Styela clava: one gene and its partners. The main gene of each other region encodes a partner of the protein of the gene in region 3 in a complex. Links are inferred from orthologs where the notes say so. Each region holds a gene or a part of one and is shown on either strand. Other genes may lie near its edges.

The links. Proteins that work in one complex are often made in the same cells at the same time.
Region 1: DNA-directed RNA polymerases I, II, and III subunit RPABC1 (region 3) and nucleolar transcription factor 1-like share a complex: the UniProt entries of both Homo sapiens proteins name them as parts of the pol I pre-initiation complex. The link is inferred for Styela clava from reciprocal best matches to the Homo sapiens genes POLR2E and UBTF.
Region 2: DNA-directed RNA polymerases I, II, and III subunit RPABC1 (region 3) and uncharacterized protein LOC144421013 share a complex: the UniProt entries of both Homo sapiens proteins name them as parts of the PAQosome complex. The link is inferred for Styela clava from reciprocal best matches to the Homo sapiens genes POLR2E and PFDN6.

What each region holds. Positions count from the first base shown.
Region 1 is NC_135255.1:6,649,242-6,657,182, reverse strand, and holds the start of nucleolar transcription factor 1-like, read left to right. Parts: upstream 1-4,929; 5' UTR 4,930-5,333; intron 5,334-6,091; 5' UTR 6,092-6,138; coding exon 6,139-6,169; intron 6,170-6,492; coding exon 6,493-6,551; intron 6,552-6,734; coding exon 6,735-6,860; intron 6,861-7,521; coding exon 7,522-7,578; intron 7,579-7,941. UniProt on the Homo sapiens protein: Recognizes the ribosomal RNA gene promoter and activates transcription mediated by RNA polymerase I (Pol I) through cooperative interactions with the transcription factor SL1/TIF-IB complex.
Region 2 is NC_135252.1:15,383,315-15,389,402, reverse strand, and holds uncharacterized protein LOC144421013, read left to right. Parts: upstream 1-5,048; 5' UTR 5,049-5,053; coding exon 5,054-5,437; 3' UTR 5,438-5,573; downstream 5,574-6,088. Other genes in the region: chaperone Ric-8A-like, read left to right, coding at 2,140-3,843; uncharacterized protein LOC120343245, read left to right, coding at 5,574-6,088. UniProt on the Homo sapiens protein: Binds specifically to cytosolic chaperonin (c-CPN) and transfers target proteins to it. Binds to nascent polypeptide chain and promotes folding in an environment in which there are many competing pathways for nonnative proteins.
Region 3 is NC_135259.1:2,953,326-2,961,307, reverse strand, and holds DNA-directed RNA polymerases I, II, and III subunit RPABC1, read right to left. Parts: upstream 3,092-7,982; 5' UTR 2,921-3,091; coding exon 2,864-2,920; intron 2,218-2,863; coding exon 2,043-2,217; intron 1,665-2,042; coding exon 1,468-1,664; intron 539-1,467; coding exon 335-538; 3' UTR 105-334; downstream 1-104. UniProt on the Homo sapiens protein: DNA-dependent RNA polymerase catalyzes the transcription of DNA into RNA using the four ribonucleoside triphosphates as substrates.

The sequences.
Region 1 (7,941 bases), on a different chromosome or scaffold from region 3:
ATGTAAGTTGTTCATTTTATCAAGGCGAGGTCGCAAAGTTGGATACAAATCTGTATCACTTTTGCTCAGCTATTTTGCCTCCAGTCTTATTTCATACATATACATATTACATGCCAACTTTCAGAACTTCCAATATTTATAGATTCTTTTGAAAACAATGCATTGTTCGTTTAGCACAAATGCTTCTTTATCTCAATTCAGGTTACCAGCGGCACAACCAACATCACGCAATATACCACCTCCACCACCAGGGTTAGCTGGAATTCAGCCTGCTAATAATTTGAGGGGTTGGCCATCAAGTAACCCCCACAACCTATCAGGTAAGTGCTAGTTTTATCAGATCTTCGTTTTTGTCTATTGTCTATATACTTGTGACTGTTTCATCACAATGCTTTGAAATTATTGAAAGTGGGAGGAAATGATGACTTTGATAAGCAAGACAAAAATGAGTTTGAAATAAAGAGTGAGTAATGATAATGAGTTTGAAAAACTTCCCTATTTGGCAATATGAGAAATACTTGTGCGGAAGGTCGCCCTGTTAATTAGAAAGAAAATTGGATAATAAGAGGTAGACCAAATAACCAATCGTGATGTTATTCGGCAGTTGCCTATTGCCCTTGATGGGCTCTCACTGAACAACTTTCAGGTCAGCTGTCTGTTTGATTGAGGCTTGCAGAATTGGATTCAAGATTTTTTTCAACCTAAAAATAGCAGCTGACCTTTTTTGCAACAAAATCTCTTGTATCCACTACAGGGTGACCCAAAAAAAAAAACCCATCAATTTATGAAAATGAAGAAATTTTTAATACTTTTCTGATGATGTATGATTGTGCCCAAAAGTTTCAGCAGTTGATGATGTTTCGCACAAAAGTTATGTTCTCTCTAAAACAGGGGTTGGTTGATTACGGTCCATCGAAGTGTTTCATCCGGTCTGCTGAAATTATGACAATAGTTTTTATGGATATAAATTTCCGTTGAAAATATTGATAAAAATAAAGTCATGATGATCCCGATTGTTACATTGTGCTTCTTATTGTTATATGAGCGTCATTACGTCAGCTTAGCTGATGGACTGGTTGTTGTAAATAAGCTCTTTTTTTATTCATAGTTTTTTGTATTGAGTTTAGAGCTTCTAGCCCAGTAACCAAGTCTATCATCGGTACCTGGCCCACTCAAAAAAGAAATTGCCCACTCCTGCTCTAGAATATGTTCCAAATGACCTTGTACTTACTGTTTTATTTGGGTGACCCTGATCATGTCCCATTCCAAATACTTACACATTTTTAGAACTTCTCATTTGTATATTACAGACAGCATGCCTATTAAAAGTACAAATGATTGGGAAGCAATATTTGGATTCAAATCATCTGCAAAAGAAGTTCTTCCATCAGCAGATGACGATCTAGGATTCGATCCATGGGTTGAATGTAGCAAAGGGTTGGCTGATTTGATGGAAAAAGAAAAGACGCAAGAGACTGGAGCTGTTCATATTAACAATGTAAGAAGAAATGTGCAAGAACTTGGATTTGTATTTTTATGATTTAGATTTATAATTTAGATTTTAAATTTTTCAATTAATGATCCACTTTTCAAAAAAAATTATGATTTATGCTCATATTTGGCAAATTGGAAAGAACTGCTGATCGGATTCTTAGAGCAGCAATTTTTCAGAATTACTAATTTTTGCCTATTTTAGCCCAGTAGCAAATGAGGCATTAAACTAATTGAAAAATTATAGGCACTCGACAAATTACTGAATAACACAACATCATACTGAAAATAAGAATCAGTATCAAGAACATTCTTTTAACTTCCTACTACGTGGTTGTGTGTCTATAACCTTGTGCAAACTCCAAAGACGAATGAAATCGAATTGAAAAAATCGGAATGAATCGAAAAATAGAATTGAAATTATGTTCAATATTTAAAATTTTTGATATTCTGAATAATATATCCTAGTTAAAATTCGAAAAATGATCATTTTTAGCAACGAATATTTCACAGTATAAATGAGTATAAATAAGTAAGTATAAATTTTTTAAATTTATATTTGATACATTTTACTAATTACATACTATTTCAGAATGTATTTAGAATAGAAGATCATTCGTTTTTGGCCACCCATGGACTAACCATAAAAAAGTTCATTTTCGTCAATTTAAATCTAATAAACTAAAGTTGTTTTCTTGTTTATAGATTCCATATTCAACCAATACCTTTCCATTTAATTCAAACCCAACGTTTTCCGATATATCTGCAACACAAAGAAGACCAACATCTTTACATAATCCCAACCATTCGGGTGTACATCAGGTAAAATGTTTTTTTTTTTTTCGAATCTCGTTTTTCGATCTAGAAGCATATTTGAAGCTTGATATACATTTTTGTTTTATTCATTTTATAGGCTGGATTTCCTGGCGGGAATGATCTCATTAATGGATTTTCCAATCTTATGATGCATGGAACATCCCAGCATTCTCAACAGCACAAAATGCCTTTCCAATACGATAATTTACAACAACGTCAGTTCGAGCAAAATCGATACAATCAACAACAAAAAGTTTCCAATCCCTTCCAACAAATCGATCCATCAGATAAGAACAATTTTTGGGATCTGCGAACTATCAAAAGCAGGGTTTTATAAACCATGGGGGCCCACCTACTCCGAACAAAGATCAAATGAATAAAAATCCTGCAAATATTACAGATTGGCAAAATGGACTAAGGGCTTTGCTGCCGAGCGTAAATATCAATTTTGCAACTCAAGGACAAATTCAGAGACCTAACTCAAGGCCTGTCGATAATTCCTCTTTAGGTTTATCCAGCTTAGGTATGCCAGCAGAACATAACAAACATATTAATATTCCTCACCCACCAGGGATTTCAAGCTCTGGTATGAATCCCCATCCCCCTTTCAACAAATCTAATATCATGCCCCCACCTGGGGTGGGTTTTCCTGGCAGGTCATCTTCTTTTATGCCATCAAGACAGCAATGGGGTGGCCCTGAATCTTCCATGTCCACACCTGGAATGTCCTCGAACAGACTTGTTAGCCCTGCTAGTTTGCAGTCCTTATTTGCTGGTGGAAACCGCTCTGAATCTAATCCTATGCCTGGTGGTACAATGCCATCCTACCCACCCGATCCTGCCATAATTCAAGGAGGCGTGCCAGGTTACGGACCCACAATGAGGCGTAATAGACTATTTGAAAATCCACAAAACAAATCTTCGCACAATAATAACGAGGATCAGCCACATTGGATGAAATCGCTGCAAGCTTTAACTGAGCCCGACAGTCCAATCCACCCTATCCCACCTTCGAATAACTCTAATATGAACCAACTTTTTTCACAGCGCCCAACAAACAGTGGTATGCCCTCGTGGCCTGGGATGCCTGGCTTATTTTCTAATTCAGGTTTTGTGCCTTCACAGCCACCTCCTGGATTTCAAGTCAGGCCTTCTCTATCAAAACCCACAGAGTTTGGTATGATTCACAGCTTATTGGAAAATCAGTCATAGGGTTGGATTTCTTTTGAACGATATTATCAAATAAAGTAATTTATATATTTGTTGGAATTTCTCTTACCATAATTCAAATAAATGCGGTTTGTTTTTTCGATCCGATCACTGATCTCTGACAAAAATGGTACACATGGTAAAATGGACAACACAATATTTGAAAAATTGTTGCAATTTTAATTTCTTGAAAACGTGATAAAAAAAATGTGGATGATTTCCACTGGTATTCTTGTGGCTTGGTGAATTTTGGTAGTCGTGACAATTTTATCGTAAATATTCAGAACATTGAAGAGCACTTTCTGGTGACTTCTGGTTTCATTTAAGTGTTACTTCTTTTTCTTGGCCAAACTTGATGGTGCTGGCATGATGTTCTTATTTGTCTGTTTTCCGCTTTATTTCAACTCAATGGTCAATAAAGATATGGATTTTTTCGCTTTTTATATGCTATTTTGTTTTGATTTGTGACTGATGTTCTTGGGCTCATGATGTGAAAGACTATTTACTTATTGGCTTGGTAGGTACTTTTTATTAATTAGGTTGCAGTCCGTGATAACTATCAGATATTGTCTAACATCGACTTTTCACAGACCTCCAATTTTATAAATTGCAGCTAGTGCTAGAACTTCAATTGAAGTTTAACCATCTGGTATATTTTGCTATGGTTTATGTGGCAGAAACGTCCCTGGGATTTTCGTTACGTAACCGCTGGTCGGTTACGGCTTCCTCCACCACTAAGTCCATGCTTCCGAAAGCAAACAATATAACTAATCCCATACCAGACTTGGAATGGTAACCGGACGAGAGGCCGTGGTTCGCCATATGGATGAGCCGTCTTAGCGGCTTTCCTCTCCCCCGGGATAAATATGTAAATCCTAACCTTAGAAGCTATGATCAAATTATGCATGGACTTTATGCATACTTACATATTTTGCCACTCCATATTACTTTTACTCATTATACCGTTAGTTTGATTCATAAAGCCCAAAGTAGGTGCTTTTAGTCTTCCGAGTGCGTTCAAAGCCAGTTTCAGTATTATGTTAATTATGGTTTATACGTGGGCAGATAAAAATTATAATCGTTGGCTATACCATGTCTGGTACGTATCCTACTAGGCTGAAGAAGACTCATTTTCAGAAATTGTGTGCGACCTGTTCAGACCCCCAAGACCCTAACAAAATGAAGACAGTCCGAGGGCTTCAGTTAACCCAAAAAGCCGAAACTGCAGGTTTGTAACAATTGCTTTGAGGAAAACACATATTTATGACTTGAAACATCTGCAACTTGAAATACTCAAATGAATACGGCTTCAAACTATGATTATAAAGGCAGCTTTTGCGCTTTATTTCAAAATTCCAACATTCTCCCTTTTGTTTTGAATTCCAAGAGTCGCTGCCGCCGAAGAAAGTCGATGTTTTCGGCGACTCGCAGTGCTTTTTTCGGCTGATGTCTCTCGAAATGCCGAGATAGATACACCGGGAAAAATACAGACAAGCGGCCTGAAATCGAGCGTTCTGATTGGGCGTCGCTATCGATTTGCGTGAGCCCGTCTGTCTGGCGTGGCGTATTGCAGTTTCAAAGCGTTAGTACAGAATTACGAGGAGGGCGTGTGCAACCAGTTCAGATCGCACGATAGTTTGAGCTCACAGAATCAAATTAGCAGACGATTAAAAACGACCACTGGAATTCGGAAATACAGCAATAAACTAGGCCACGGTACTTCTGTCGACATCAAATATAAAAGACAACCCAGACCAGAAGACTGCAGCGACTCGTAAAACTGCAAAAACACGCACGATATCGGCGAAAAACTGAAGGTAAGATGCGTTTTCATCATGCATTAGTACTAATAAAGTTTACTCAGACATCGCGACTTTAAAAGTAAGGTACTGGTATGTGTTTTACAATGAATGTACCCTTGTGAGATAAATTTTGAACAACATCTTGCTAACTGAACTGGTCAATTCGTGGTCTCGTTAAACGAGATAGCGAGGTAAACTTTGCAATCGAGGTCCGCCATATTTCTCTCGCGTTTCGCAGAGAAAGAAGGCATTTTCATCATAGTTCATTTCAACCATCAGAGCGCGAAATTTCAATCATGGTAAGCGCGAGACCACCCTATTAGAAAAATACATGGTGTCCGAAAAATTTCCCGCGAATTTATAGTAATAGCAATTAATTTTTTTTGTTTTTGACTTCATAAAATAAAATTTTTAATTCTAACTCACAATTGTTATTACTATAAAATCCGGTGAAATTCTTAATTGTTTTTACTCAGTTACTATAAAATCCGGCGAAATATTTTGGACACCCTGTATAATATATAATTTATCAACTTTCACATTAAAGCATCCCAATTTCCAAGTACAAAATAATCCTTTTTCAATCTTAATCATTGTTGTAAACTTCACATGTATTCTTGTAACATGCTATAACCTCAATGGTATAAATAACGCTAACCATGTTCGTTCCAAATCCAATTGGTTGCTCATTTTTCATGCAAATTATCCATTTGACTGTTTTAAATAATTCAGAACTATGAGTGCAAGTGTCTAATAATGTTTTTATTTTTTAGAGCATTTGTCAACATTGGGAACTTCAGATTGATATTCTGATTTGAATATGAAAGGGGCAACTAAAAACAATTGTATTGGTAAATCAACATATTGTTATCAACTCAAATCATGTCTTGTGTAGTTTCGTACCGCATGTACTTCTAGTAGACGCGGCATAACAATTTTTGCACATGTCAATCCTAACCCCTACCTGACTTCGCCATCCAAATATTATGTCTCTTTTTAAATGAGGATGGATGTTGAAACTTCAAAGTAATCTGTAAAGTAAAATATTACAAATGAATAGGTGATCTTTAAACTACTGTTAAATCATAGTTTGAAGGAATGTTGAAGTATTTCAATAAAAACTTACAGAAATTTAAAATTCATGGAAATGACATTAATATTTACAATTTTGCAGGGAGTGAGGATGGATGGACAGATGCCACAACAAAAGAACTTTTAAATAAAATGAAGCAGGTATATTAGGAGATATTATAGTAGATCAATTTTTTTATTGATAAATGAAAAATTATTATTTATATGTTTAATAAAATTCATTGGATGCCATGAACAGATCCATCACATTTTCAGTTATCAACTAATATATATCAATGCCAATTTGCTGTAATCATGAATCTTCAATTAAGTTTCTTATTTTAGGCTATTCCGAATCCAGATGTTTCTAAATATAAAACGATGTTAGAAAAATTTGAATGGGACAAAGTAAAGATGGGTCGTTTCTCAGCTGAAGATTGTAAGAAACAATGGTTCAGAGTTTATAAGAAGGTTTGTTCAAGTATAATTCTTGTTTTTGTATCTTTTTACCAAGTGCACAATTGGTCAGCATGATATGGTGGGAGGTATTTGTTGACACTGAATTCCACCACCCACATGGGTTTAGGAGCAGTTAAACCAGGGGTGTGCAACATGTGGCCCGCAGGCCCGAACCCAGCTCATCAAGCAGTTGGTGTGGCCCGTGTATTCGCCCCCCACTCATCAAGCATAAAATCCCAATCCCACAGTGCATGTTTAAAAAGACGTTCACATGGGTAAAAATATGTGTATTGATATTTGCTCTTGTCGCTGCCCTAAATCTTTCGCCGTTTTGCCCGGTGACTTTATTACTGGAAGGCTAAGCAATGGCCGTATTCTCTTTGCTTTCTGGTTGCAGCTAATTTTCCAATTCATTGTGTGCATAGAAAAACTTATTTGTTTATGTGGCTCAGCTAGATGTCTGAAGTTAGTTTTATGGCCCACCAAAGTAACTTTATCGCCTTTCCCTCTCGTGTGGGATAAATATTAAATATGCTATTACTACCTATCGCCACTGTTGAAAGTATGTTATATACACAGAACACAGTATCTGAGAATTTTCAGTTGCCTTGGACCTTGGTTTGTCTGGGATTGACTTGCTATTGTTAATATTTTATATTATTTTCACATTCAGCTGAGAAAGTTCAAAACTCTGTCAGACTTAATAGTGGATTCTCTCGATTATATTGAGGTAAGTAAAATAAAGTTGCCAATAAAACCTGAATACATGTCGTAGTTATGCTACACCCAATACGAAAAGTAATAAAATGCTTGCTTTTTAATTTATATAAGATGATTGATAAATTTACTGTTAACTTACTGTTTTTTAAACATTGTGTCGTGAAGTCTTCAGCGTTATATGTTGAGGTTGTTTACACAACAGTTATATATGTATTCACTCTGACTTAAGCTCTGAACAAGTATCTACAGATATGTACGATGCTACTGTTTCATATGGACCTGTGTTTATCTGGTGCAGCATTGTCAACCCAATTTATTATGCCCTCTCTAAGCTGGTGGGTATGGGACTTGAAACCAGATTTTTACCTACAGG
Region 2 (6,088 bases), on a different chromosome or scaffold from region 3:
TAAATTTTCTATAAATGCAAAAACTTTTATCTTGGCTAGAATATCTTATAAATTAACTTATCCCTAGGCTATATGTGTGCATCTTGATAGATAGATTTTATTTCGATTCATTCGCAAAAACAAAATAAACTTATATATATACATATACACACGGCTGTCCTATTATATTGGTTCCCCTTATTTTCAGGATAAATCAAATATGAATATCTTTCTTTTTCTCAAAAATTTATTCGCTGCTTGATTTAGTGACCGTATGGTCCTTCCAACCTCCTATCAATTCCGTTGTTAGTCGATTTATTCTTCTTTTACTTATTGAATGTTGTTGTTTGTGTTTGATTTGTTGGCTAATGACTGGGTGATGAATAAACTTCTATCTATCCATCTATCTGCTCATTCATTGTCGCTAAGTTGTTTCTGCGATTGCATTCTCGCAAATGTTTGTTTTGCATAACGCCAGTCGCAAAAATATAAGTATAGGGTTAGTATTCGCGCAAGAGTCCGTTTTCGTCTGGACCTTTTTATTTGGTGTGGGAGGAGGCTAGTTACTGAGTTACCGTATGGTGTCGGTACGGGTGCAGCCGGTATATTTAAAATTATCAAAATCTTTTTATTTAGTTGTATACCGTACCGGTACAGTTCTTCAGTACGTGACACACTTTATATATTCAGATTGTAATTACGGTACCGGTATTTTATAAAGGTCAGGCGATTGCCGTTGTTAAATTGAATACCGTACCGGTACCGGTATTGATTTCTAAACAGTGAGCAGCGAAGAAAAAATAATAAGTTTCCCGTATTAAAAAAATATGGCCAAGCTGGTTTTGTATGAAGTCTCCGATTACAGGATTAGTCTACCACATTTTGTGCTTTCAATTGCCGGACTCTGAGAGGTTCTGGTGCTGAGGTAAACGTGGATATATGTAATTTAGTAATCTGTGAGCGTTTAGGATGCCTTAACTTACCGTATAACACTGTCAGAACGCCAGCCCACACTCGTGTGACGCTAGCCCACACTCGTAGGATGCCAGCCCACACTCGTGTGACGCTAGCCCACACTCGTGAGACGCTAGCCCACACTCGTTTTTGACAGGCCATACTAGGGGTAACTGGTCCGTGCTTGGTATTGCATTTGCGCTGTGTATATCCAATATGGTCTCTATATTGTCATAGCCACCAAGTTTTTATGTATTAACGTTTATAAAGTGGTAAAATAGTTGGTTGACCCATTGACGTCAGGCTGAGTGTGGGCTGAGCGAGTGTGGGCTGGGGTAACTTTGGTACCGAAACTGCTTGAATAATCCCAAACAGAATGTGATGTGAAATTTTTTTTTTAAAGTCTGTCTAGGACGGAAATGAAATACTTGACAGATGCGTTTCTGCGTTTAGTTAAAATAAAATCCACTCGATTTTCAACTAAGCCAGTACAGCAGTATATTCCATATCATATACCAGTAGGGTATGGGCAGACTATGTCGTACTGTAAACTGAAATAGAGTACCATATACCAGTAGCGTTCTGACTCAACTTCTGTCCGAGACTACTTTTATTATAAAAAAATAATAAATATTGGACTTTATTTTTTTTACATCATGTTTTTTTTTTTGGTTGGCATTATTTAAAAACTTGCTCCGTGTACTTCGTTAGACTCCACGTGCCCCACACCACATATTTTTATCCCCATTGTTTATAGCGCAATAGTTCTGTACTTGGTATTCAAGAATTTTTCTCTGTCAGATTAAATTCATCCAGCAGTACGGTGCTTATAACTTTTAACATATTGCAGTATTCTGGTATAGAGAGATCAATAGTACTGAACTAGTTTCAATTACTTATTCATGTATTGGGTGGTGAAAAAATCTGATTAACTCATTCTTTACCACCCAGTCATTAATAAAAGATTTTATTTTGAATCACTCATTTGGTCTATTATTTATGTTTTGTGTTTCTGGTTAGTGGTTTAAAGAATAATTAAGTTGTTTATCTCTCACAATAGGTGTATACCTTATGTGTGAAAGGATTATTAAGAAATCCTCCTTTCATAATTATTCAATATACAACTGTTCAGATCATTACTTGTACTAAACTATACTATTACAGTATTAGTGATTTCCTTCATTTAGTGTGAACCACAGTCTGACAATGGAACCTATTAATGGATATCCTAATACTATATTATCTGAGAATGATACTGATAAATCATTAGAAGCATTAAAAAAGTTCAATGCAAAGAATAGTGGCGCTTTCATTTTTGGCAAAAATGACATGCAAGAAAGAAAACTATTTGTCTCACATTTATTGGATATTTTAAAGTCTTCTCTGGATGGTGAAAGCACCTCAGAATCTGAATATGTGGTGGAAAGCCTTTCTGCTCTAGTCGTAATGTCTAGAGATCATATGTCAATGAATGGAAGATTTTTGAATCGAGAAACATGGAAGATATTGACAGTGATTGCTGGATTACTGGATAAAAATGGGAAGGCAATGACGGTCATCGAAACGTCTAAGATACTGTTTACACTTGCTAGTAAATGTCTATGCAATATCATGTTCATTTCAAAAGATTCGCAAGGTTATTGTTGCGACGATGAACTTATAAAAGGCATTTTGCAACGTTTGAAATCTCTGGATCCCAAAGATGAATCAAATGATACTGAAGTTGAATTTTTAACACTTCGATTGCTGTTTCTCGTTTCTGTGCTCAATGTGCAAGCAAGAACAAAGATTATTGAAAACCACGAGGGTAGCCGAGTCTTGTTGGATTATTTGAATTCGAAATTGACATCATCAAAAAGAGTTGTTAAACCTACGCCATGTATCAGAGCTAGTATTTCTCCTGCACATGCAAAATCCTGTTGTGAAATATTAAGAACACTGTTCAATTTGAATCTGAAATATCGGCATGAAGAAAGTCAAGTAAAGGAAGAAAGAATTACTATTGAATTTGAAGATTTGACATCAGTTTGTCGTAAATTGTATTTGGTTCAAGCAGGTGATGACAAAGTTTTGACGGAGAAATTACATGGTGACGCAGGAAATTGTTTATACACTGTGCCCAGGTCTTGTTTACTTGATGATACGATAATTCCTTTAATTGACAAGTATGACCCTGATGATGTGTTTTCATACAATGGCGAAGACATCCCGCAATGGGAGGAAAGAGATCTCAGTGCTGTTTTGAATATTTTAAAAGAAGTTGAATTGAAGATTCACAATAAGTCATTGACAACTGAAAGCTTGCAACCTGTTCTTTCACTGCTGAGCCACATCAGTCGTACATCAAGATATGTCAGAAAATATTGCAAGAATTACGTTATCCCACCACGTAAGGATTTTGAGCATCGTCCTGAAGTTGGACCAGAATTTCGTAATAAATTGATAAAGCTTTTCACACATGCTAACACAGAAGTAAAAGCGGCTGCTGCTGATTTTGTATTTGTCTTGTGCAGAGAGAAGGTGGAGAGACTTGTTAAATACACTGGTTATGGAAATGCTGCGGGATTGCTTGCAAGCAGGGGGTTACTCGCAGGAGGCCAGGGAGACACTGTTTATTCTGATTGTGATTCTGACTCTGACACAGAAGAATATTTAGAAAATGCAGAGAAAATTAACCCCATTACTGGTCACATTCCACCTAATATTCCCAATCCGATGGAAGGTATGTCGGAAGAACAGAAAGAATATCTTGCTGTTCAATTAGCAAATCAGATTTCGAAATTGTCAAGTGATGATATTATCAAACCTGTATGTATCGATCCAGATACTGGTAATCTGGTTCCTTTTCAACAAAAAGTCCACAATATGCAATTACCAGAAGAGAAAGATTCTGATGAAGACATTGATTGAAGATTACAGATTGACATAATATAAGCTTTTGCAGCAAATTTTCTGAACTCATCTTCCTTTAAATAACTAACAAAATATTGCGATAGGAATGGAAGTTCATTATTTGAGAATAATTTGTCTTTATTATTATATCCTGGGTAAAACTTATGTTGTGTGAAATGCAAAACTAACCTCGAATAAAATTTTGGACACTATCTTTTGAGGCTGATATGCCAACCATTGGCACCTTGGAGGCATTCCTGTATCTTAGTCCAGCTTTAACTGTGATAGTTTTGAAGCAAATTGCTATATTTGTAAAAACATATTTCAAGTCTGTACATTTTTTAATGCATATATGTAATTGTGCCCGTCTGTTGCCCGTTTTCTCTTTTGTAATTCTATGTTTAATGAAATTTTATGCTGCATTCACCAAGTTATTTGTTTTGAGGGAATCATGTCTGTTTTAGTAATCGTTTCTTATGAATTTAGTTTTATTATTTGAATAAAAAAATTTTCTCTGACAGTTGTTTCAAAATAATATTCATGTCATTTCTTGCAATATATTAAGTCAATTAATGCGTCACGTATGCTACCAACTTTCCTAGAAAAATGCTTTTTAAGCTATATGGAGTACTAGAATTCTGTGTAGTGCATCGAGTATTTGCATTTTGTTGCGATATTAGATTAAGAACTAAATTCTGACATATCTTACACAATGTTAATTTCTGTATATTAGCCAGCTTCTGCAAAATACAATCATGATATGTATAAGTTGGCAAGATTTTTTGCTATATTTTGTATACAGTTATAACCTATTCTTTTGTAAGGTGTTGTTTGATCATTCGTTTTTGCCTAGTAGAGATTATTGTCCATGGGAGTCATTAAGTTTTTTTTTTTTTTTATGTTTATGTGTTGTATCATTGTTTGAAGTTTCAAATTACTCATTTTACAAATTGCTCAATAGAACAACATGGACAAAGATTACAGTCAAGCTCGCCATCAGTTAAAAAAATAACTTATCGAAGGATGATATTTCACTTTATGGGGTTATTTAAATGTGCAGTCTTTTCGAAATGGCTATATTGTGATGTTATGACTTATTTTCATTATATTCAATATATTCAGATGTTTTGCTGTTTTTCATCAATATTTTCTACATTTATGTATATATAGCTTCCACATGTTCTTCATGTAACGTATCTTTTTTGTATTTTTGTGATATTATAGCAGGATGGAAAAAGTTAATAAAAAAGTACAGCTAGAATTTCAAAGTCACGTTTCTGAATTGCAAAAAAATCAAAAAGCTATTGGCAAGTGTGTGAAACTACGACAACAGCTTGAAGCTCAACTTACAGAGAATACTCTCGTACAAAAAGAGTTGGATATTCTTGAAAGTGATGCCACTGTTTATAAGCTTACAGGTCCTGTATTGGTGAAGCAGGATTTGAATGAAGCAAAAGCGAATGTGAAAAAACGAGTTGATTATATTACAGAGGAATTTAAAAGACAAGAGAAAACAATTGAGGATTTGGAAAAGAAACAAGAGACAACAAGACAAGCATTAATGAAAATTCAAGCTTCGCTTCCAAAGCCAACTGGAAAACAAGTAGCATAGTAAACAGGATAATTTTAAAACTGAAATAAATTTGTAGTGAAATATATCCAATTTGGCTTACAACCACATTTTTTTTTTCAATTATAAATTTTTTGTGTTTGCTGCTAGAAATCTTCAAATTCAATCTATTTGAAGAATGAGGCTGGAAGAATACAGCACAATCTTTGACTTTATCAATTACCACAAATCTAATTGTCCAAGAACAGTTCTCTCTAATGTTATTTCAAACTTTGGGTCTCAATATCAATATCATACACTAATGAGTATATTTTTGACCTGTTTGCAACGAAAAGTGAAAATGACGTACCACTCAAAAATGAAAGAAGAGAAATTGAAATATTATTACAAATTATATAAAGAACGAATGAATATCTCACATCAAATGAATCATAAACAAAATGTAGTGAAAAGTAACAAATTACCCGCACAAAATATAGAACAAACCTCAAGTGAAATTGCAAAATTGTGCAATGGAAAAGAAGCGGTTTCGAATGGCACTGACAGTGGTTCTTCTGATGTAAATGGCAAATCTGTATTGATTGGTATTGCAAATGATTTCGAAATTCCACCTTGTTTAATGGCAAGAATTATTGTAGAGCAATACCTCATTGAAGAAAAAGCTTCTGCTAACAACAAAGAAAATTTTGCTAC
Region 3 (7,982 bases):
GGCATCAGAATTCTGTTTAACAATAGCCACCTCTTACGCAAATCTACCTCCCAAATAACCCACTTACGGTGGGATTCACCTCTAAATGTCAAAAAATAATGCCATAATGTATTTCATTTTATTGTGCGGAATACTCAAATTTTGGTTATCCTGGAATAAGCGCCCTTCACTTTTATGCTCTACCTTTCATGACCCTTTGTTGAAATGTTTACTTCATTCTGAGAACATATGATTGCCAAAGGAGTTTTTTCCCAAACATCAACATTACTTCCAAACTCCCCATTGAGTTAGTCTTCTCAATACTACAATGTGACTGCTATAATTGATATCTGCATCATTGCACCAATCTATATGTTACGTATCTTCCGGCAGTTTCACTTGGTCGCACAATTTTAACTACTTGTCCACGCTTCAATCCAAAATACCTAGCCACAGGATCACCACCCTGAATTCTAGGTAGTTGATGGTCTTTCAATTTATACCTAGCAAGAAGCTCCGCTTTTTCTTCAGGATTCAAAACGACATGCTCAGGAACAAGCTGTAAGAGAAGCATCCATATTATTAAAGGGAATGAAATATCACAACACGATTCGTTACAGACATATTCTAGCTAGAGTCTCTGATCACGTTATTGTCCCTGCCAGGTATCTTTAACTTGCCGGTTATAACCATGCCCAACTTGGAAGGGTAACGAAACACGAAAACTACACGACTATGGAGCTGCACTGGCATTCCTTCTCTCATGAGATAGCATTGACAAATTTTTCAGACATTGAAAACATATTTTCTGTCTGTCGCAAAATATTTCAACTTCTCCGCTTATATAAAAAAATGGGAATTTCCAATCAAGAAAATCTTAATTCCTCTTTTCAAATTACTTTCAGCTGATATGTGGCTTTCTAAAAAACAATTTCTTTGTAGCAAGTTCTCGATAATTCAGTTTCGAGGTTTTAGTATACCAACAACAACAATATTCAAATCCTAAATTACCAGTGTTGAATAGAACAGGATCAAGTCAGTAAAAATTTACTTGTGTCTCTAGCTCAATGATCCTGATGAATGAAAATCGTGAAGCGGTTATAAAAATAATGATTGCTAAATTGTCTACTTAATCCAAAATGGAAGGCGCTACGTTATAAACTACAATGGACACTGTCGCACCAACATCTGAAATTTAATGAATTGTGTGTTGTTGTTTCTATTTGGCTTCATTATGCTGGCAAAGCAATGAAATCTATCAATGCTACGATAGAAAACTAACATACTTGAAACCATTATATGATTAAACATATTCATGTGAGCTTTCTTTGCTGAAACGTAAGACACTCAAAAGCAGAAGACAACACACAGAAATAAATTTTGTGCAACAATAATTTTAATAGAATTCCAAGTAGCTAGCATCTTATATTATCAACAAAATATGCTGATCAGATACATTTGTTGCATTGTAACAATAAAATAACTCACCTCATGCTCAGTTATATTAATCAGCAGCTCTTGCTCAAGGAATTGTTCAAGAATATACTTAGGGGCCATATCAACCAGAGATTGTTTGGCAGACGGCGTCATTCCAGACTGAACAACTATGACTGCTCTTTGAATATTTTCTTCTTGCATTCTTTGACAATACATCTTGATATTTTTTATACCAACTTTAGGTTCCTCTGTGAACAGGAGAGCATATTAGAAAGCTTAATGACAAATCACCTATCACGCTACAGACCTTTTCAGTCACAAGACTGATTGAGGGTATGATTTTGTCTCACACTCATCTCGGGAGCTGTTTAAAAATAATAATTTGCAAATACACATAGATTTATGGGACATTTGGGCATACTTATGGGTCGTTGCTGGTATATGCCGCTATGGTGGAGAATAAATATATATAAATTCACACGTATTTGTATATAACTATTTTTAAGCAACTCACAAGGCATCTGAAAACCAGAACTCAAACTGTCTCATGCCCCCTAGTAGTAAGTAAAGTCTGTGGTTATATGGTACAAAACGTCTGTGAATGATATAATGATATGTAATCATACCTGGAAAAAATACAAACATCTGATCTGTAGGATCATCATTATGTGCAACAAGAACAGTCAACTCTTGTCTAGCTGGGTGCCTTTCACTTGGTTTGTCGCCAAATTCTTCTTTAAATTCTTCCAATGTTTGATCCAGTTCATGTTGAGTTACCAGGTATCCCCTATCATGACACAGCTAGAAACACAGCAGTTTGCGTCAAATTAAAAGGTTACTTTTACTTATACCCAGACTTTATTTGTTAACATTACTAGCAAATGAAGAATGAGCAAAATGAATATAAGAGATACAGAGCTTGAAAAGACGTAACATTTGTTGGGACTCGATGAAATAGACAAAATGTGCACAGTTTTTTTTCTCATACTGTCATACTCAATCAACAAATAATAATGCATGCATGTATTTGCCTAACTCTGTCCTGACTATGATTCACGAATCCCATATATCAGCGACTATTCATGCTCAAGTACTCAAACAATTTATCTTTTCAACAGTATTCAATATTATATTAAGAATGTTACAAACATATACTATGTGCAGGGTGTCTCAAGTCAAAAGTAAGTATACAGTTTTAATTTTGATTTGCTTTTCAGGTACTCATCATAGAGCGTTCATTTCTTCAGAAAACAGAGTATAGATAAGTAGTAAAATTTAGATATTGTTTGCATCTTCATCAACCTGTCAACCCACAGAATGACAATGAGGGATGTTGAAAAATGCAAACGATACCCAAGTTTTACTACTTATTCATACTACAGTACTACAGTACTATATTTCTGATATCTGGATATATGTATACCGTACCATATTATATCTTATCTACCTGCATCACTGTTTTTCGAATTCTCCATAGCCTGTATGTTTCCGATTCATCATCCATTACACAAGATGTTCAAAGTTACAATAGTCAGATAGTACCTTGAAGTAATATAGCAAGTAGGGTACCTTAGAGGCTGTTTGATAATAATTCTGGTATTGAAGTTAAAGTGTTAACTTACAGACTTAGGTTACTTTTTATGAAATGGCATATAAAGTCTGCAAAAACAGAAGCAGTAAGGTTATTGCCGGTACGGTAACTTCATGACATACGGTACCGGTATAGGATTTACAGAAATAGGATTTACATATTTTTCCGATGAGAGGAAATGCGATACGACTCAAATCATATGTTGAACCAAGGCCTCTCGTCCGGTTACCAGTCCATGCCAAGAACACTGCTGTACTGGAATAGGTTTAGTGTTTAGTCAGCCAGTTATTCAAGTTCTTATGCACAAACTTGATGGCGGAGGAAGCCGTAACTGACCAGCGGTTACCGTACGTGAATCACCTCACAGCCCTTTGCCCTACGACAGCGAGGAGTCCAGCAATCTAGAACCTTCGAATACCATACCGGTAGGCTGCAACGGCCGGCACCAACTTGCCTAATGTTCTGTGTATTCTGATGGCTCAGAAAAAAGCATCAAAACAATATTTTATGAAACCGATATTTTCTATTCCATGTCTGGATGCAAAATTAACATGAGCAAATGCCAAGCTTTGTACCTGGGGGGAAACAATCATTGCCAAAATTGTCCTATGAAAGATCGAGGACTTGAGTGGAACTCAAAAGATTTTAAATTGTTGGGTATTTTTATATTTGAAAATGATGCTGACCTTTATACTGTGAATATTTTGCCAAAACTCCAGTATAGGGCAACAAAGATTCGACCCTATCTGCGTGTCTACACTCCCGTGTTATTGAACACACGTTAACAGAGTGTAACTCCGATCTTGACTCCTTCAGAGGTCAAAAAGCACACAATGTATTGAATGCCAATTGTTATATTGTAAAGTTGCACAATCGAATTGATCCAAATAACGAATTACACTTGAAACCTTAAAGCAAGTATATGTGATGAAACCAAATTTCTAACTAACAAAGAACGGCAAAGACAAGCTACACTGAGCGAGAAAAATATATCATAAAGGAAATGAATTGGGACAACGACCTTGTTTCAGGCAAATAACATGCACTGCTAACAATAAGTGGTGAAAATATTACAATACACAGTAACTATTCTTATGTACTTGCTACACCAGAAAATGAAAATGATTGCACAATTATGGTCAAGAAGAAATCTTGATTTCCTTGAAAAAATTACGGTAATCAAACCCCTTATGTTGAGTACACTAGTATATGTATTATCCACCTTACCAATGAGACTTCCCAATAGTTTGTTCTATGGAAATGTATATCCATTTGGAATATTTATTAAAAACATTAAGTCGAGATGTTTAAGAGATACTCTGGGATGGGTTAATATGATAGATATTGAATCATTTTTTATTGGTCTTAAATTAAGATGGGTTAAATTTTTAGTAAATGATGAATTTGATGCTTCGTGGAAATCTATAGAATTTTTTTTTCTAAATTTATATGGAGGAATGAATTTGTTCTATGGAAATGTATATCCATTTGGAATATTTATTAAAAACATTAAGTCGAGATGTTTAAGAGATACTCTATGCTATTGGCATATTTTCAAATCTAAAGTTGTTACTGATGTAAGTCACTTGCATGAACCACTGTGGTTCAATAAAAAGATATCAAGTAAAGGGAAAATGTCATATATTGAAGATTGGAATAGAAAGGGTATTTGTTTCATTGAAGATATCTGTGATTCTAAACACCAAATTGCAATGTTTCCAATCATTTTTCATCATTATTGCTTTTCTGATTTTTATAATGACATGCAATCATATTTAAAAGTTTTATCATGTATACCCCAAGCATGGAAAAACATTTTAGTAAAAACCCCTCAAGCCAATCCACATCTTAGTCTATTGGAAGATATTAGAAGCATCAATAAAACTTCCAGATACATATATGATAAGCTTCGTAATGTAAAAATCTTGATGCCTAAGGAGAAAATAGAAAAATGGTCAAATGAACTGTGCAGAACTTGGATAATTGGTTGACGCAGTATGAAAAAGTTTTTAATTGCACTATTGAATCGAGACTTCGATCCTTCCATGTTAAACTTGCTTTGCGAGCAGTACCTACAAATGACCTATTATTTAGGATAAATAAGACATCAAGTCCGAAATGTACATTTTGTGAAAGGAATGTTGAAACCATGTTTCATTTATTTTATTTCTGTGAATTTGTGCAACAATTTTGGAAAATAGTTAATGCACGGCTAACTGTTGAATATGGTTTAAATCTTAATCTGACATATAGAGAAATTTTAATGGGGGTAGAGCAAAACCAAGGTATAAACTGTGTTTTATTGAGTGCACGATATTATATCTATAAATGTAAACTACGTAATGAAAGGCCTCAATTTGATCAATTTTTATATATGATAAAAAGTATATTTAACTGTGAAAAAATTATTGCAACTAGAAAATGTAAACTGTTGAACCACATTAAGAAGTGGAAAGTTATCATGAACTCATTTTTGGACACGTAGTGGACATAACGATCGTTTCAATATTATGTTGTTGTTGTTCTTGTTCTTGTTGTTGTTCTTGTTCTTTGACACGTTTTTAAAAAGTCGCTTTTCTCTTCGAATACTGGACCAATTGCTTTGAAATTTTCAGTGGTTGAAGATTAATTTTTTCGCTAGAAGGCTATTACTTTTGTTTATTCTTAAATTTTATATGAATCCTATGAGATATGATATTTCATACAAAATTTCGCGGTATTTATTTTTACTCATGGGAACACTGTTTTGCACTTATTTCAAGCGGTTTCGCGATCGATTGTCTTGCTCAGTACTACAGCTACTGTAGGTCGGTACTGGTAAGTTGCCATACCGGTGCCGTAACGCAGTGAAATTGACTTATTCCTTCCGCGGTATTACTAATGCTGCAATGCAAGTTTTATAGCCTATCGTATGCGGAACGGAATATCAGACCTACAGGTTCGGTACTGGTACTGGTGCCGGTACCGGTGTCTTACCACAATGAAATTACCGTAACTTATTCTTTCACGGTCCTACCAGTGCAGTAATGCAAGCGTTGTAGCACTTGTAGCCTACTATATTTGTTTATTTTGATGAGATTCTACTGGAAACAACATAAAATTTGAAAGAGAAGAATTGTTCTGTGATCAATTATCTGTCCTAAAGTGTAAATAACATAAAATTTGCAAGGGAACAACTGTTCTGTGATCAATTACCGTATATGGCCTACAGTGTACAGGTAAGATGCTGGCTGACTGCTAACCGGTACTGGTAGCTCAGTACGTAAGTACGATACTGGTACTGGTGCCGGTACCGGTGTCTTACCACAATGAAATTACCGTAACTTATTCTTTCACGGTCCTACCAGTGCAGTAATGCAAGCGTTGTAGCACTTGTAGCCTACTATATTTGTTTATTTTGATGAGAGTCTACTGGAAACAACATAAAATTTGAAAGGGAAGAATTGTTCTGTGATCAATTATCTGTCCTAAAGTGTAAACAACATAAAATTTGCAAGGGAACAACTGTTCTGTGATCAATTACCGTATATGGCCTACAGTGTACAGGTAAGATGCTGCCTGACTGCTAACTCAGTACCGCTTGACACGTTTTTAAAAAGTCGCTTTTCTCTTCGAATACTGGACCAATTGCTTTGAAATTTTTAGTGGTTAAAGATAAAAATTTTCTCCAGAAGGCTATTACTTCTTTTTTCGCTATGACGTCATCAAAATTATGTGACTCTACGTGTCCATATATTTGAGCATAGCTCTCTTGTTTTAAAGTGCAATTGTGTTTATGTGTTATATCGTGTGGATAAAAAGTGATGTTTTTAATAATAATAATAAAAAAAAAAAAACTTGCCTAATGTTAAACACATGGGCTTTGGTTAAACCATTGAGGTGTTATATACACCTCAATGGGTTAAACAAATTCGTGGACGCCATCTTGTGCCATATTTCCCAAACGCGAAACAATGCAGTCTTATGGGAAATTTTCGTCGTGTTGTTGTACCGAAGTCCGCTGTTATAAGGACTAGAAAGAAACTGAAGGGTGGATTTTGAACTTTGAGATATATGCTATCTGAATATATAACGCAATTAAGAATAAAAAACAATCTAATGCGTTAAATATGACCCCAAACACAGCGTAGAACCATTTTTGGTTCTTTTTTATAAAGATTTTACAGTGATACGCTAATCTGAGGCAGTAAAATGTCTCTGCAACAATCCTACAATATCATTTGTTCTTCTAGCGCAGCTTGGAGCCGAGCAGTAAGGCATTATTGAGCTTGACAGACGAAAAATGTTAACCAGAAAATAGAAACGGCCATTGGAGCACGAATAAATACAACTTTACATCTGTGACGTCATAAGGAACGCCATTGTCAAATGGGTAATTATGACGATTAGAATGGCCAATCCTACTTCGGAAGCAACTGGAACCGGTATACTTGTCTTCAAGGACAATTTAATGTACTATAAATGTAATTTGGCCAACATGACAAGATATAAACATGTTCGGCTAAGATTCTACTTCAAAACGCGACCTTCAAAATTTTTCTACTTAAAATATTAGTAAAAATAATAGGTATGTTTCAATATTTGTGTTGGAACTTCTCATAGGGCGCTGTGTTAAATTGCCGAGAACAATAGGCACAAGATGGCGTCCATTGTCTGAGCGTTGCCTAGCTTATATTATATATACGCTTTGGTAGGCGGTAATCAGAGGTGCTAAAAGGCAGGGTTGCCATATTGGCTTTTTTAACGCCAAATTTGCCATTTTTGGCTTTTTTCAAACGCGTTTGGCGTCAGAATTTCCGTTTGGCTTTTTGGCGTTTTTCAAGTCTATTCTAGTGTCTATTATTAAAATCATATGAAATACAATATTTCAGTATTTAGTGTGTAACAATTGAACAATAGCCTATTACTGTGTTACCTGTACTTAGCTACTTAACATTAGGATTTCCTGGAGCATCGATTTCCTTGTTTGTTACAT